Linked DNA regions of Stegostoma tigrinum. The protein of the gene in region 1 purifies or fractionates together with the protein of each later gene. This does not show direct contact. Links are inferred from orthologs where the notes say so. Each region holds a gene or a part of one and is shown on either strand. Other genes may lie near its edges. The genes, in order: mettl9 and slc39a10.

Region 1 (7,837 bases):
CTCAGCACTTAGTGGCCACATTTAGAGGTGGAGGTAAGCTACCCTGAACCATTGCAGTCCATTTGATGTGGGTACCTCCACAATTGTGAGAAGGTAGTGTTCCAGGAGTTTGACCCAATCACCATGAAAGAACAATAGTTCCTAGTTGGGACTGAGTACTTAGAGAAAAGTTTCATGTTCCTGGTATATGTTGTCCTAGTTCTTGATGGTAGGGGGGCAGCTGGCTCATTGGTCTATAGTATGATTCTTGCTTCAGGTTTTTCAGTGATTGGGTTTGTATTATCTGGACTATCAATCTTTAAATCCATTTCATACATTTGCAAAGATGTTTTTCCTTTTTTTATATATATTAAAAAAATAAGCATTTGGTTAAGGGCATAAACTCATCAGTAACTAATGACTTCTTTGCTTCTCAGTTTCCTGTTGAGGAGTTCAAAATGCTAACAGTTTTAAAGTCAGTGATTTTTTTTTTTGTTTTTTGTTTTTCTCATCCCAGATCAGTTTAGATGAAAAGTCAGCTGGACTTGGATTTTTGAATGGAAGTAACAGATCAGCTTTCAAGGCTGATGAAGTAGTCAGACTAATATTCAGAACTTTCTCAGGCTATCAGAGATACTTTCTGATAGTCCTGCTTTTTTAAGGTTTCTTATTTTTCAGGAGTGAGTCTTGTTTATTGCAAGTTTTGGAGGTCTTTTCTACTCCACAACTAAGTATCCACTGGAAAATATGCCAACTTCAGAAGAATGTCGTTAGGCCCTATCTCTACCAAACCAAGTTTTCCAGCGAATAAAGCAATAAAGCTGATCCCATCTCAAACAAAGAATGAAGGGTCTAGGCCCGAAATGTCAGCTTCTGTGCTCCTAAGATGCTGCTTGGCCTGCTGTGTTCATCCAGCTCTACGTTTTGTTATAATAAAGAATTGTTTGTCGTCTTGCCAAAGTTACTTGACTTTCGTCCAGTCCCTGTACACCTGCATTCCGCATGGAGATGGCCTCAAGGCCCTCCGCTTCTTCCTGTCCCGCAGGCCCGACCAGTCCCCCTCCACCGACACTCTCATCCGCCTAGCTGAACTCGTCCTCACACTCAACAACTTCTCTTTTGACTCCTCCCACTTCCTACAGACTAAGGGGGTGGCCATGGGCACCCGCATGGGCCCCAGCTATGCCTGCCTCTTTGTAGGTTACGTGGAACAATCCCTCTTCCGCACCTACACAGGCCCCAAACCCCACCTCTTCCTCCGGTACATTGATGACTGTATCGGCGCCGCCTCTTGCTCCCCAGAGGAGCTCGAACAGTTCATCCACTTCACCAACACCTTCCACCCCAACCTTCAGTTCACCTGGGCCATCTCCAGCACATCCCTCACCTTCCTGGACCTCTCAGTCTCCATCTCAGGCAACCAGCTTGTAACTGATGTCCATTTCAAGCCCACCGACTCCCACAGCTACCTAGAATACACCTCCTCCCACCCACCCTCCTGCAAAAATTCCATCCCCTATTCCCAATTCCTCCGCCTCCGCCGCATCTGCTCCCACGATAAGACATTCCACTCCCGCACATCCCAGATGTCCAAGTTCTTTAAGGACCGCAACTTTCCCCCCACGGTGATCGAGAACGCCCTTGACCGCATTTCCCGCGACACATCCCTCACACCCCGCCCCCGCCACAACCGCCCCAAGAGGATCCCCCTCGTTCTCACACACCACCCTACCAACCTCCGGATACAATGTATTATCCTCCGACACTTCCGCCATTTACAATCCGACCCCACCACCCAAGACATTTTTCCATCCCCTCCCCTGTCTGCTTTCCGGAGAGACCACTCACTCCGTGACTCCCTTGTTCGCTCCACACTGCCCTCAAACCCCACCACACCCGGCACCTTCCCCTGCAACCGCAGGAAATGCTACACTTGTCCCCACACCTCCTCCCTCACCCCCATCCCAGGCCCCAAGATGACATTCCACATCAAGCAGAGGTTCACCTGCACATCTGCCAATGTGGTATACTGCATCCACTGTACCTGGTGCGGCTTCCTCTACATTGGGGAAACCAAGCGGAGGCTTGGGGACCGCTTTGCAGAACACCTCCGCTCAGTTCGCAACAAACAACTGCACCTCCCAGTCGCAAACCATTTCCACTCCCCCTCCCATTCTCTTGATGACATGTCCATCACGGGCCTCCTGCACTGCCACAATGATGCCACCCGAAGGTTGCAGGAACAGCAACTCATATTCCGCCTGGGAACCCTGCAGCCATATGGTATCAATGTGGACTTCACCAGTTTCAAAATCTCCCCTTCCCCAACTGCATCCCTAAACCAGCCCAGTTCATCCCCTCCCCCCACTGCACCACACAACCAGCCCAGCTCTTCCCCCCCCACCCACTACATCCCAAAACCAGTCCCACCTGTCTCTGCCTCCCTAACCGGTTCTTCCTCTCACCCATCCCTTCCTCCCACCCCAAGCCGCACCCCCCGCTACCTACTAACCTCATCCCACCTCCTTGACCTGTCCGTCTCCCCTGGACTGACCTATCCCCTCCCTACCTCCCCACCTACACTCTCTCCACCTATCTTCTTTACTCTCCATCTTCGGTCCGCCTCCCCCTCTCTCCCTATTTATTCCAGTTCCCTCCCCCCATCCCCCTCTCTGATGAAGGGTCTAGGCCCGAAACGTCAGCTTTTGTGCTCCTGAGATGCTGCTCGGCCTGCTGTGTTCATCCAGCCTCGCATTTTATTTACTTGACTTTCAGTTTATTTTGGGTAAATTACAGTCCACGTTATTGTCGAACAGTTACAGGAAATCCTTTTTTAATAACAATGTCCAAATAGTTCTGTATTCCAGTTTTAAATAAAAATCTGTATTCTTAACATGCCTTCACAATTATTAATTGAAACAAAATGAAATGGTGTTTATAATGTAAATGTGAAAACATGCACCACAAAGGCATTTTTAAAAGTTGGACTTGCACTAATTTATCTTCACATATATACATTTATATGGTTTCTGGTTTCATTCTTAATCTCTGAATAATGGCAATGTGCATCAATGATCTTGGCTAACATTTTTTGAACAGTAGAAAGTTGTTTCTGTAGCGTGCGTAGGAGTTGTATGATGCAACCCTGCATTGTTCTGACATAACAGAATCAGGCAATTGTCAGTGGAAATAAAGATCCCTTACGGCTGATACTCTTTGAAAGTATCCATTTAAATCATAATTTGAAGAGATTTCCTCTGGTTAATAGTTACCCAGGAAAAGTCAGACAATTAAATAAAACCTGGCTTAACATATAGGTAACATTTAAACGAGCCCCTGACTTATTGCACCAAATAGGGATAAACAGAGAGGGGTCAAACACACTGAGTGAAAGAGAGGGGTTGAAACACAATGCGAGAAACAGAGGGGCGCGGAACACAGCGCGGCTGGAGCAGGGGGTCCGTAACGGCGCGCGAGAAACAGTGTGAGGAAACAGAGGGGCTGATACGTGTGAGAAACATGCATCACCCAAGCCCCTTATACCCCCAAAGATTGAGTTGACATCCAGTTCCAATGTGCCACTGACCCTGACACCCGGTAGGATCTGTCAACACTCCCTCTTCTCAGTGACATGACTTCCCCGTCGTACTTCTGGAATTAGCACCTCTTTGCTGTGGTAGTCAACGTCTCCCTCCCTTTGTCAGACCCAACAGTCCTGCCCACCATCGCTTACCTTGCATTCTAACCTCACACTTTGCGGATATTTTCTAATCTACTCGTTCAGTTGCCATTAGATACTTTGGAGCAGGTGGGATTTGAATCCAGGTCTCCTGATTCAGAGGTGAGTGAACCACCACTGCACAAATAAACTCCCTTTCAGACTATTTTCCAGGAAACATCAAATTGGCTGTCTTAATGCGAGACATTTAAATCACAGAATATAGCAACTACTGCTGTGAAAAAGGGTTTGGGTTGACATTTCCCAATTATTCTGCACTACCTGTTGGATTTAAGATACAAGATAATAAAATGTGAGGCTGGATGAACACAGCAGGCCGAGCAGCATCTCAGGAGCACAAAAGCTGACGTTTCGGGCCTAGACCCTTCATCAGAGAGGGGGATGGGCCTGCTGTGTTCATCCAGCCTCACATTTTATTATCTTGGATTCTCCAGCATCTGCAGTTCCCATTATCACGGATTTAAGATACACCTCATTTCTGAAGGAGCCATAATTGGAATCTACTGCCAGAAATGCGAACTTCTTACTTAATGGGGAAAAACTCTTGGTTGAGATTAACACTCTGAAAAGTCGGGTCTAATTCAGAAATATGTTTTTGAGACTCAGTCAACCAACTCCACTGATGCAGTATAGTATTTGATGTTTAGATTACCGTACAAAAGGTAAGGGACGAAAGTCAGTTTATATTTTGATTCTTTGTGATCCTCGTAGGCACAAACTTCAAAATGTTTAGAGAGACAATACCGATCTCGTAGTTTTTCTTTGGTTTTCCACACTCCATTGTGGTGACCAAAACCCACCAAAATGAAACGTTAAAAATGATCACCATTGCCATTATCCCTAATCCGTGTTAACGCGTTCAAATCCGAGTCTCCAGCTTGAGTCCTGGACCCGGGAACTTTCTCACTTTCAAACGGCACGCCTCTTTGGAAACCCAGAGTAGCCAATCAGGAGCGCCTTCGTCGACTGGCCAATCATGGCATTGAGCTGCAAACCAATCAGAGACGCAAGAAAGCTGTCCAATGCTGAACTGCTCAAGTGTCAGCCAGGAGCGGAAATCTCCCGGGATACAGGAAGTCAGCGGGAATGGGGGACTCTGAGGCTGATTACAGAAACGCACCTTGAGTTTGGGATGTGGTGGGGTCCGTGCTGGTGAAGGGGGGGGGGGGTGGGAGGATGGGAGGATCCTGGACGCATCTGCTGCTTTTTCACCTTCTCTGCAAAATGTTTGCCCCCTGTTGACCCCCGAGAAGGGGGTAAGGGAAGGGTCTCCTGTGGGGAGGGGGTCCCCTGGAGTCCCCGGGATCAGACGGGGTAGCGTTGAGTGGGGTGAGGGGTGTCACACCCCCTCCCGCCCGGAATTCCCAGGACGGCTGTGAAGCGAGTGCTGCTCCTGCTCTGTTACTTTGTTGCACTCCTGCAGCTGAGGAAAATGTGGAGCAGTAAATACCTGCGGAGCCCCTTGTCCCGCTCGTTGTTCAGCAACGTGAGGCATCAGGGCGACGAAGAACACGACAAGTCCCAGGTACATCAGTCTGTTTCTTTGGTTGGAAATAGAAAGTTGTTTTAACCGAGAAAAAGCTTTTGGTGCTGCTGTGAGATTCTAAAGGACGTGCATTTCTGCCGGAATCAAGTTACTGTGTAGAAACCTTGTTGTAATTCATTTCCTGATGCTTATTTTATCCTGCTCCAGTTGTCATAGAGATAGTGATGATAATTGTCTACCTTGATTGAAGCAGACTGGATGGGCTGAATGTCTTACTTCTCCTCCTATATCTTATGGTCACCTGTGACGGATGCCTGTGGTTTGCCGTTCCACTCCAGAAACTTGAGCACAAAATCTTGGTGGATGATCCAGTGCTGTTCTGAGGGAGGGTGAGGATGCCAACAGAGGGTGAACCCTGAGGCATTGGGTGAGGGGTGGGTTGGGCTGGTGGCAGAGTGGATGCACTGAAAGAGGCAGCATGCTGGCAGAGGGCAGGCTGTAAGGTAGGAGGGTAGCTAACAACGGTGTGATCCTGAGAGAAAACTTAAGAATACAGTTCTGAGAAACTGCTGTGTTGTTGGAAAATTGGTACTAGGATCAGGGCTGAGGGTATGCTACACTTTTGAAGTTGTTATTACCTCTTCGATGAGATATTTAGACTGAGGTTCTGGTTACTTTCCCGAGTGGACTTACAACTAATTATACCCTAGTTTGGTGTAAAAATAGCTGCCTATAATTCTTGCTAATGTAATAACTATCATAACACTTCAAACACAAAAATAAATTGCTGGAGAACCTCAGCAAGTCTGGCAGCAACTGGGGACAGAAAGCAGACTTAATATTTCTAGCCCAGTGACATTCTTCAAGACTTTGAGGAAGTTCAGAGGAAAAGTCACTGTACTCAAAACATTGACCCATAGGACCCTAGACCTGTATTCCAGAGTTTTGTGAATTGAATTTGAATTCCACCAGCTGCTGTAGAAGGATGTGAACTTATACCCCAGAGCCTTAGCCTGGGCTTCTGGATAGCCAAACCAGTGACCTTACTTTGCCACTTTCTCCTCCACCCCAGCTATACAGTGATGGAGCACTTAAAATCCAGGAGGTGCATCAAAAGCCCAAAATTGGAACTCAGAGGGTTTGGGGTCTGGAGCAGATTAGAGTTAGGGAGTGTGAGATGAGGCAACGGAGGGATTTATAAACAAGACCAATAGTTTTAAAATTGAAGCATTATTTAGTTATGAGTGAATGTACAAGGATGCTGATGATTTGGTGCAAGTGAGGATATGGCCAGCAGAATATTGAAAGAGCTCATGTTTACCAATGGTGTGAGATGGAAAGCCAGCTAGGCGTAGGATAATCAAATTGGGAGGTAACAAAGGAAGAAGAGATTTAGTAACAATTGTTTGGAGCATGTATAATTACCAGTAATTTCTATCGAAGGTGCTGACACCGTTGTCATTCTTTTTGCAGTGGTATGCCTGTGACATGGAATTGCTGCCAATATGTCTGCAGCCATCATTTGTTCAGAGTCATCTAGATGTGGGGACACATGCGTTTCTCAGGCAATGTTCAGAGAAATCCAGCTGGCTTTTTGTTCAGATTTATTACTCCCTCGTCACTTCTGTGTTTGGTCTGTTCATGTCCAAGACCTCCATCAATGGGTAAAATGATTAATTTTTTAAAAAAATTGTATTTCCAATTTTGTGGGGTCACAAGGCTGTCTTATATTGGTGGTAACTCTCATCCCAGGGTGAAGTGTCTGCTAAGTCCCCACCACCAAGGATCATGCGTATTGTTAAAAGACAGATTAAAAACAGGATGCTGGTTTTAGCTCAAAAAATCACTGAAAATTGACCTGCCATGAACAAAGATGATTGGCACTCTCTCTTGATGCATTTTGAAGGTGGCCAGAGGAGTTCTGACCTGGAGTCCTAGTCATTATTTACATTCCCAACTGTAATGACTCCAGTTGATGTTGTTATTGGACAAGCCAGATCCCAGACTGAAATTTGGGTTGCTAGGTCATGTTAATAAGTGTCTTTCACTGAAACCCAAAATCTAATGATGCAGATTCCAGTTTAACATTAGAACAAGAGTTTATTATACAAAAGAAATGAAGATAAAATAGAATAAATCAAGCTATTGAAATACAACTCAAATTTAAAGATTTTGAATGACATGATAAAATACAATCCCGTTCAACTCAAAAACCACTCCTTTACATAAGAGAGAGTTTTCTTCCCTTTAACACTTATAGTTTTTAATTTTACTGAGGTTTCGGGTTTGAGAATTTGATAGCAACTTCCTGGAGCTTTCATATAATTTATCTTTGGGCTAATTGATGCTCAAAGTCATTCAGAGTTTAAATCAAACACTTCTCATCTGGAACCTTTTAAGCTAAAATTAAACTGAGGCAACCCCTTTCTTAACAGATGTAAAACTACCTGCCTTTCTCAGGAACAACTGAATGACACTTCCAACTTCAGGCAAGTCTTTTGCAAACTGCCCCAAACTGAAACTTAAAAAAAAATTTTACCAAGCTGTGCATACTTCACCTATGGACAAAAAAAAACTAGAATCTTCTATATGAAATTCTAATGTTCGCTTCATTTGCTTGTATGCTTCCCCAC
Region 2 (8,041 bases), on another chromosome or scaffold:
TCAGACTCTGTGTGTGTGCGTGTAAAAGGGAGGGAGGTGTGTCTTTGTTAGTCAGGACAGTATAACGGTGGCTGAAAGAACTTTTGATGAGGACTCGTCTACTGAGGTGGTCTGGGCTAAGGTCAGAAACAGGAGAGGGGAGGTCACACTCCTGTAAGTTTTTTAAAGGCCTCCGCAAAGTTCCAGGGATGTGGAGGAGAGGATTGGCAAAATGATTCTGGGCAGGACTGAAAGGAACAGGGTGGTCATTATGGGAGACTTTTAACTTCCACAACATTGACTGGAAATGCTATAACTCTAGTACGTCGGATGGATCAGTTTTTGTCCAATGTGTGCTGGACGGTTTCCTGACACAGTATGTCGACGGGCCGACAAGACGGGAGGCCACCCTGGATCTGGTACTTGGTAATGAAGCAGGCCAGGTATTTGATTTAGTGGTAGGTGAGCACTTTGGAGAGAGTGACCATAAATCGGTTACGTTTAGTTTAGCGATGGAAATGGATAGGAACATGCCACAGGGCAAGAGTTATAGATGGGGGAAGGGCAATTATAATGCAATTAGGCAAAATTTAGGAGGCATAGAATGGGGGAGCAAAACGCAGGGGATGGTGACAATCGAAATGTGGAGCTGGTTTAAGGAACAGATATTACGTGTCCTTGATAGGAATGTCCCTGTCAGGCAGGGAGGAAGTGATAAGTTAAGGGAGCCGTGGTTTACTGAAGAAATTGTATCACTTGTTAAGCGGAAGAGGGAGGCTTATGAGATGTTGAGACGAGATGGTTCAGATGAGGCGATGAAGAGTAGCTAGGAAGGATTTAAAGAGAAAGTTAAGAAGAGCAAGGAGGGAACATTAGCAGTCATTAGCAGGTAGAATAAAGGAGAACCCTAAAGCTTTCTATAGGTATGTGAGCAATAAAAGGATGACTAGGGTAGGAATAGGGCCAGTCAAAGACAGAAGTGGGAAGTTGTGTGTGGACCTGGTGGAGATCGGAGAGGTGCTAAACGAACATTTCTCATCTGTTTTCACTCAAGAAAACGAGAGTATTGTAGAGGAGAAGACTGAGATATGGGCTATTAGACTTGAAAGGATTGAGGTTAGTAAGGAGGAGGTGTTATGAATTCTAGAAGTTGTAAAGGTTGATAATCCCCTGGGTCGGATGGGATTTTTCTGAGGATACTCTGGGATGCTAGGGAGGAGATGGAGGAGCCTTTAGCCTTGATCTTTGAGTCGTCATTGTCTACAGGTTTAGTACCAGAGGACTGGAGGATTGCAAATGTTGTGCCCTTGTTCAAGAAGGGCAGTAGAGATGGCCCAGTTGTAATTATAGACCAGTGAGCCTTACGTCTGTTGTAGGAAGTTTTGGAAAGGATTCTAAGAGATAGGATTTATAATCATCTAGCAAGCAACAAATTGATTGGAGATAGTCAACATGGATTTGTCAAGGGCAGGTCATGTCTCACAAACCTCATTGAGTTTTTTGAGAAGGTGACCAAGCATGAGGATGAGGGAAGGGCAGTTGACGTAGTGTACATGGGCTTCAGTAAAGCCTTTGATAAGGTTCCACATGGTAAGCTATTGGAAAAAATGCGGAGGCATGGGATTGAGGGAGGTTTAGCAGTTTGGATTAGAAACTGGCTTTCTCTAAGAAGGCAATGAGTGGTGGTTGATGGAAAATATTCAGCCTGGAGTCTGGTTACTAGTGGTGTGCCTCAAGGATCTGTTTTGGGACCACTGCTGTCTGTCATTTTTATAAATGACTTGGACGCAGGCCTGGGTGGGCGGGTTAGTAAGTTTGCAAATGACACTAAAGTCGGTGGAGTGGTGGACAGTGTGGAATAATGTTGCACGTTGCAGGGAGACTTGGATAAGCTGCAGAATTGGGCTGAAAGGTGGCAAATGGAGTTTAATACAGATAAATATGAGGTGATTCACTTTGGGAAGAATAATAGGAAGGCAGAATACTGGGTCAATGGAAAGAGTCTTGGTACTGTGGATGTGCAGAGGGATCTTGGTGTCCATTTACATAGGTCCCTGAAAGTTGCCACCCAGGTTGATAGTGCTGTTAAGAAGACATACAGTGTGTTAGGTTTTATTGGTTGAAGGATTGAGTTCTGGAGCCGTGATGTCATGCTTCAACTATATAAATCGCCAGTGCGGCCTCACTTGGAATATTGCGTGCAGTTCTGATTACCCCACTACAGGAAGAATATGGAAGCATTGGAAAAGGTGCAGAGGAGATTTACCAGGATGTTAGATAATAAAATGTGAGGCTGGATGAACACAGCAGGCCAAGCAGCATCTCAGGAGCACAAAAGCTGACGCTTCGGGCCTAGTCTAGGCCCGAAACGTCAGCTTTTGTGCTCCTGAGATGCTGCTTGGCCTGCTGTGTTCATCCAGCCTCACATTTTATTATCTTGGAATTCTCCAGCATCTGCAGTTCCCATTATCTCTGATACTATTTTACCAGGATGTTGCCTGGTCTGGAGCGAAGGTCTTATGAGGAAAGGCTGAGGGACTTGGGTCTGTTCTCATTGGAGAGAAGGCGGCTAAGAGGGGATTTAATAGAGACATACAAGATGATCAGAGGATTAGATAGGGTGGACAGTGAGAGTGTTTTTCCTAGGATGATGACGTTGGCTTGTACGATGGGGCATAGCTGCAAATTGAGGGGTGATAGATTTAAGGCAGATGTCAGAGGCAGGTTCTTTACTCAGGAGTGGTAAGGGCGTGGAATGCCCTGCCTGCCAATGTGGTTAACTCAGCCACATTAGGGGCATTTAAACAGTCCTTGGATAAGCATATGGATGATGATGGGATAGTGTACGGAGATGGGCGTGGATTAGTTCACAGGTCAGTGCAACAACAAGGGTTGAAGGGCCTGTTCTGCGCTGTAATGTTCTATGTGATCAGACTGTGTGTGTGTGTGTGTGAGATCAGACTGTGCATGTGTGTGTGTTTGATCAGGCTGTGTGTGCGTGCGTGTGCTTGTGTGTGATCAGACTGGGTGTGTGTGTGTATGCGTGCATGAGATCAGACTGGGTGTGCACACACATGTGTGTGATCAGACTGGTTGCCTGTGTGTGATCAGACTGGTGTGTGTGTCTGCGTGTGATCAGGCTGGTTGTGTGTGTGTGTGTCTGTCTGTGTGTGATCAGGCTGGTTGTGTGTGTGCATGTGAGTAATCAGGCTGGTTGTGCGTGTGAGTGATCAGGCTGGTTGTGTGTGCGTGAGTGATCAGGCCGGTTGTGTGTGTTTGTGAGTGATCAGGCTGGTTGTGTGTGTGTGTGTGTGTGTGTGAGTGATCAGGCTGGTTGTGTGTGTGTGTGTGTGTGTGTGTGTGTGTGTGTGAAAGATCAGGCTGGTTGTGTGTGTGTGTGTGTGTGTGTGTGTGAGTGATCAGGCTGGTTGTGGTGCGTGTGAGTGATCAGGCTGGTTGTGTGTGTGAGTGATCAGGCTGGTTGTGTGTGTGTGTGTGTGTGTGTGTGTGCGTGTGAGTGATCAGCCTGGTTGTGTGTGTGTGTGTGTGTGTGTGTGTGCGTGTGAGTGTGATCAGGCAGGCTGTGTGTGCGTGTGAGTGATCAGGCTGGTTGTGTGTGTGTGTGTGTGTGTGTGTGAGTGTGATCAGGCTGGTTGTGGTGCGTGTGAGTGATCAGGCTGGTTGTGTGTGTGAGTGATCAGGCTGGTTGTGTGTGTGTGTGTGTGTGTGTGTGTGCGTGTGAGTGATCAGCCTGGTTGTGTGTGTGTGTGTGTGTGTGTGTGTGCGTGTGAGTGTGATCAGGCAGGCTGTGTGTGCGTGTGAGTGATCAGGCTGGTTGTGTGTGTGTGTGTGTGAGTGCGTGTGAGTGATCAGACTGGTTGTGTGTGCGTGTGAGTGATCAGGCTGGTTGTGTGCGTGTGAGTGATCAGGCTGGTTGTGTGTGCGTGAGTGATCAGGCCGGTTGTGTGTGTTTGTGAGTGATCAGGCTGGTTGTGTGTGTGTGTGTGTGTGTGTGAGTGATCAGGCTGGTTGTGTGTGTGTGTGTGTGTGTGTGTGTGTGTGTGTGAAAGATCAGGCTGGTTGTGTGTGTGTGTGTGTGTGTGTGTGTGTGAGTGATCAGGCTGGTTGTGTGTGTGTGTGTGTGTGAAAGATCAGGCTGGTTGTGTGTGTGTGTGTGTGTGTGAAAGATCAGGCTGGTTGTGTGTGTGTGTGTGTGTGTGTGAAAGATCAGGCTGGTTGTGTGTGTGTGTGTGTGTGTGAGTGATCAGGCTGGTTGTGTGCGTGTGAGTGATCAGCCTGGTTGTGTGTGTGTGTGCATGTGAGTGTGATCAGGCTGGCTGTGTGTGCGTGTGAGTGACCAGGCTGGTTGTGTGTGTGTGTGTGTGAGTGATCAGCCTGGTTGTGTGTGTGTGTGTGTGTGTGTGCGCGCGAGTGAGTGATCAGACTCGTTTTCATAAAATCCCTACAGTGTAGAAATAGGCCTTTCAGCCCAACATATCCACACCAGCCCTCGAAGCATCCCACCATGACCCATTCCCCTATAACCTGCCTAATTTACGTATCCCTGAACACTGCGGGTAATTTAGCATGGCCAATCCACCTAGCCTGCACATCTTTGGATTATGGCAGGAAACCTATGTAGTCAATAGTCACCCAAGGGTGGAATCGAATTTTGTGTGTGAGAGAGAGATCAGACTGGTCCTGTGTGTAAAGGGTCTAGGCCCGAAACATCAGCTTTTGTGCTCCTGAGATGCTGCTTGGCCTGCTGTGTTCATCCAGCCTCACATTTTATTATCTTGGAATTCTCCAGCATCTGCAGTTCCCATTATCTCTGGTCCTGTGTGTAGAAGGTTAGACTGGTTGTGTGTGTGTGTGTTAAGATCAGACTGTGTGTTTGTGCATGCACGTGTGTGTAAGATCAGGCTGACTGCATGTTGTGTGTTTATGCATGTACGTGTGTGTAGTCTGTTTGTGTATGTGTCTGTGCGTCTGATCAGACTGGTATGCTGTGTGTGTGTCTGTTTGATCACACTGACTGTGTGAGTGTGCGCTCAGGCCGATAAACGGTCAAGCCGGCCGTTGGAGTTTTGAAAGGGAGGTTAGTTGGCGCGAGCGTCGTGTAGCGCGCGCGCGCACCGTGGTCCAGCCCCGCGCGGCCCCGGCCCGCCCTCCGCGCTCCCTGTGTTGGTACCGAGCGGAGAGGATGCACACGGCACTCGAGTGAGGTATTTAAACACCCATTTGTTTCCCTTCTCACCGCCCCAGTCGCCGAGCGTTTACACGCGAGTGTGCAGCTCTGGGCGCTGAGCTGCGCCAGGCGAATGTATTCCGTTTGGTTGAAATCCCGCGTGTTGAACGCGTGCAGAAAGGGATCGTTGGGGAGAGGAAAGCAAATGGGGTGGGTGGCAGGGGGAGACAGAGAGAAAAAGACGGGTCTCGCTGCGCTCGAGCTTGGGTCGGCGTCACGTGTTGCCATTTTTTCTCTCTCTCTCTCTCCGATGTTGGGTGTTTTAAGAGTAAAACGTGCTTCAGAATAACAATGGCGGGGCGACCGCCTGATTCGAGGCCTAATGACGAGATGTTTGATTTAGGCGTTGTAAAGAGTACACGTCTTTTTATTTTTGTTTGTATGTGGTGGAGAGTAGAGGGATGCCGACGGCGGCGCCGGTTGGGGTTTTATTTAATCTGCCGGCGGCCGTTGTAATGTTGTACTTGCGGAGCGGCGGGAGCCCGGCGCCAAACACCGCGTCTTCGATTTTGTTGCTGCGGCACTGCAGTGTGCTTAGCACTGAGCAGCCGCTGGCTGCCCTGTTCGCCGTTTACCGCCGGCTACGGCCCTCGTGGTGCTTTTCTCTTAAAAATCTCGTCGATGCTTTTCTCTCCTCCCCGCCCCCCACCTCTTATGGATCTTTATAAAAAGAGTATTAGTTTCGGCACCCGGTTTTTGGACGCTTTTTCTTTCGGACGCATGACTTCCCGCCGACCCGATTTTCTTAACTTTCTTTTAACCGGTTTACCTCCAGCGTTAAAATAATAAACCCAAGTAGCGAGCTCGAGGTTCGCTGCGGCTGAAACGCTGACCGTTATGTGGAGATTGGCACGTAAATACGTTGTAGTTTTTTTTTAAAAAAGCCATTGTTAGCATTTTCTAATGCGGAGCAGTCAGTCACTTGCAGATGTTTTAGTTGATTTTGTTTTTCCTAGTTAATACGTTTTCTATTTTCTTTGAGAGCTGCGAATGAAATGACAACTTCTATCAGTCCAGTAATGATCATTCCAATGTAATAAAATTGTAATACCATAACACTTTTTTAAATCGTCAGATGTTTTGTGTGATAATGACGAAATTAAATCGACCAGTGTTTATCAACTCTAGCTTGAATTTCAGTTTGTTTTCGAGGTGGTGTGTGTATATTTTTCAATCTTGTGCTTTGGTTTAAGTGCCTTTTGGTCAGTGCAGATTGCAATTCATGCGGAGTATCGTACACTGGTGATTTTCTAGTGTTTTTATTTTAAAATAATGTTGATGTACAAGCAATTCTCTAAACATTTGAAAATGGAAAATCTACCCGTGAATCCTCATCGGAAGCAATTAATTTTTCAGTAGATCATAAGCACGTACCCCAAACGCAATGTGGAAAACTGGTTTCAAAAATTAATGCCCAACGTTTTGATGCTTTTGTCTTGCACAGAGCTTACTTTTTTTTTGGGGGGGGTGCTGAGGAGATTGGCAAATCAATGGGACTCAAAGGGGAATAACGGACAAACTGGAAATAAAACTGTCTTTTAAAAAAGACATACCGTCAGTTGTTCCAGCAGTAACAGTGATAATTGTGCCATTAAATTAGTACTGACAGAATCCTAATCATTTAGTAGTCAGTCGTAGTGACCACTTGCCCACCTGAAATACGAGAGCGTTTTGTACAAGTGCGTATAATTTGGAAGTGTGGTATTAACTTGATGGATTTTTACAATGAATATATAAACCTTTTAAATAGAAAATTTCAACTTGGTGGCATGGCAACCAAACTATTCTGTTGCCTACTCAGTATAAGGTCCAATCAGTAATATAGCTGTGTCCCATGACTTGGTTGTCAGCATTTTTGAGTCGGCAACACAAACGATTATTTCAGCCGAACTGGTTTAGTCCAGTGTTTGTGTCACAAACTTCGGCTTCGTTCAACCCTATCAGAATCCTTTAGTGTTTTTTCCCCTCCAACTTTAACGGAAGTGATAAGTATGTTTGTATTTTACCAGCATTTGGTAAATACTACACGCTTTTGGGCAAAGAGCACTCTTTCAAATTACTTTTTTGGGATTTATTACAGCCTGTTATTGACCTGATCCCTAGGTTTGAGCACAGCATAGGTAGTAACATCTTTTTGTCCATTTGCAGTAAAGAATCAATACGCAAGATGATAAATTCCTCACTAAAGGCTGACTTTTAAGTATGATTTCAATTATTTTGCATTTGAGATTTCATAGCAAGGTTTATTACAATTTGTCAATTCTTATAGGCTGTTTACTAGTTTTGGAAGGTTTCCAAAATTAGTTCCAGAAAATACAAATTAATTCCCAACTTGTATATTGTGTGTATGTAATCTTCCTTTTGGTATTTTCACATCTAGATCAAAATTTTTGTCTTACCGTAAGACTATTTGGGATGATGAGGTGGAACTTTGCATCTGGCCCCTCTGGCCACACCTTTTATGGAAAAGCGTTTTTTATTTTGGAGCCAAGTAAAATGGGTTTAATTTATCCTAGTGTCATATTGGGGGAACAGAGCCATATCTGTAATTGAATTTTATCATAACTAATGTGTGTGGTGTATGAATCAACCTGCTGTTGATACCATTGCAAAATAAACTGCCCTCTCTGCCCTTCCATCGCTGAAATGGTTTTCTAAGAATTTAAGATTGCCATAACACTAGCTTCCAAATTTGCATCCATTAGACTAATTAAGTGCAGCACTGAAATGCTGAATTGAGGATGTGGATTTATAATTGAAGTATTTTTTTGAGTACCGGTCATTCTGTAATTATACCCCTTCAATAATAGGGTT

The links.
Region 2: the proteins of mettl9 (region 1) and slc39a10 purify together in Homo sapiens (co-immunoprecipitation; 3 studies listed by BioGRID and IntAct, with this or other methods). This does not show direct contact. The link is inferred for Stegostoma tigrinum from reciprocal best matches to the Homo sapiens genes METTL9 and SLC39A10.

Annotation. Positions count from the first base shown.
Region 1 is NC_081376.1:34,319,733-34,327,569, forward strand, and holds the start of mettl9 (methyltransferase-like protein 9), read left to right. Parts: upstream 1-4,769; 5' UTR 4,770-5,150; coding exon 5,151-5,243; intron 5,244-6,677; coding exon 6,678-6,868; intron 6,869-7,837. UniProt on the Homo sapiens protein: Protein-histidine N-methyltransferase that specifically catalyzes 1-methylhistidine (pros-methylhistidine) methylation of target proteins.
Region 2 is NC_081360.1:33,020,989-33,029,029, reverse strand, and holds the start of slc39a10 (zinc transporter ZIP10), read left to right. Parts: upstream 1-5,001; 5' UTR 5,002-5,077; intron 5,078-5,125; exon of another isoform or gene 5,126-5,204; intron 5,205-8,041. UniProt on the Homo sapiens protein: Zinc-influx transporter. When associated with SLC39A6, the heterodimer formed by SLC39A10 and SLC39A6 mediates cellular zinc uptake to trigger cells to undergo epithelial-to-mesenchymal transition (EMT).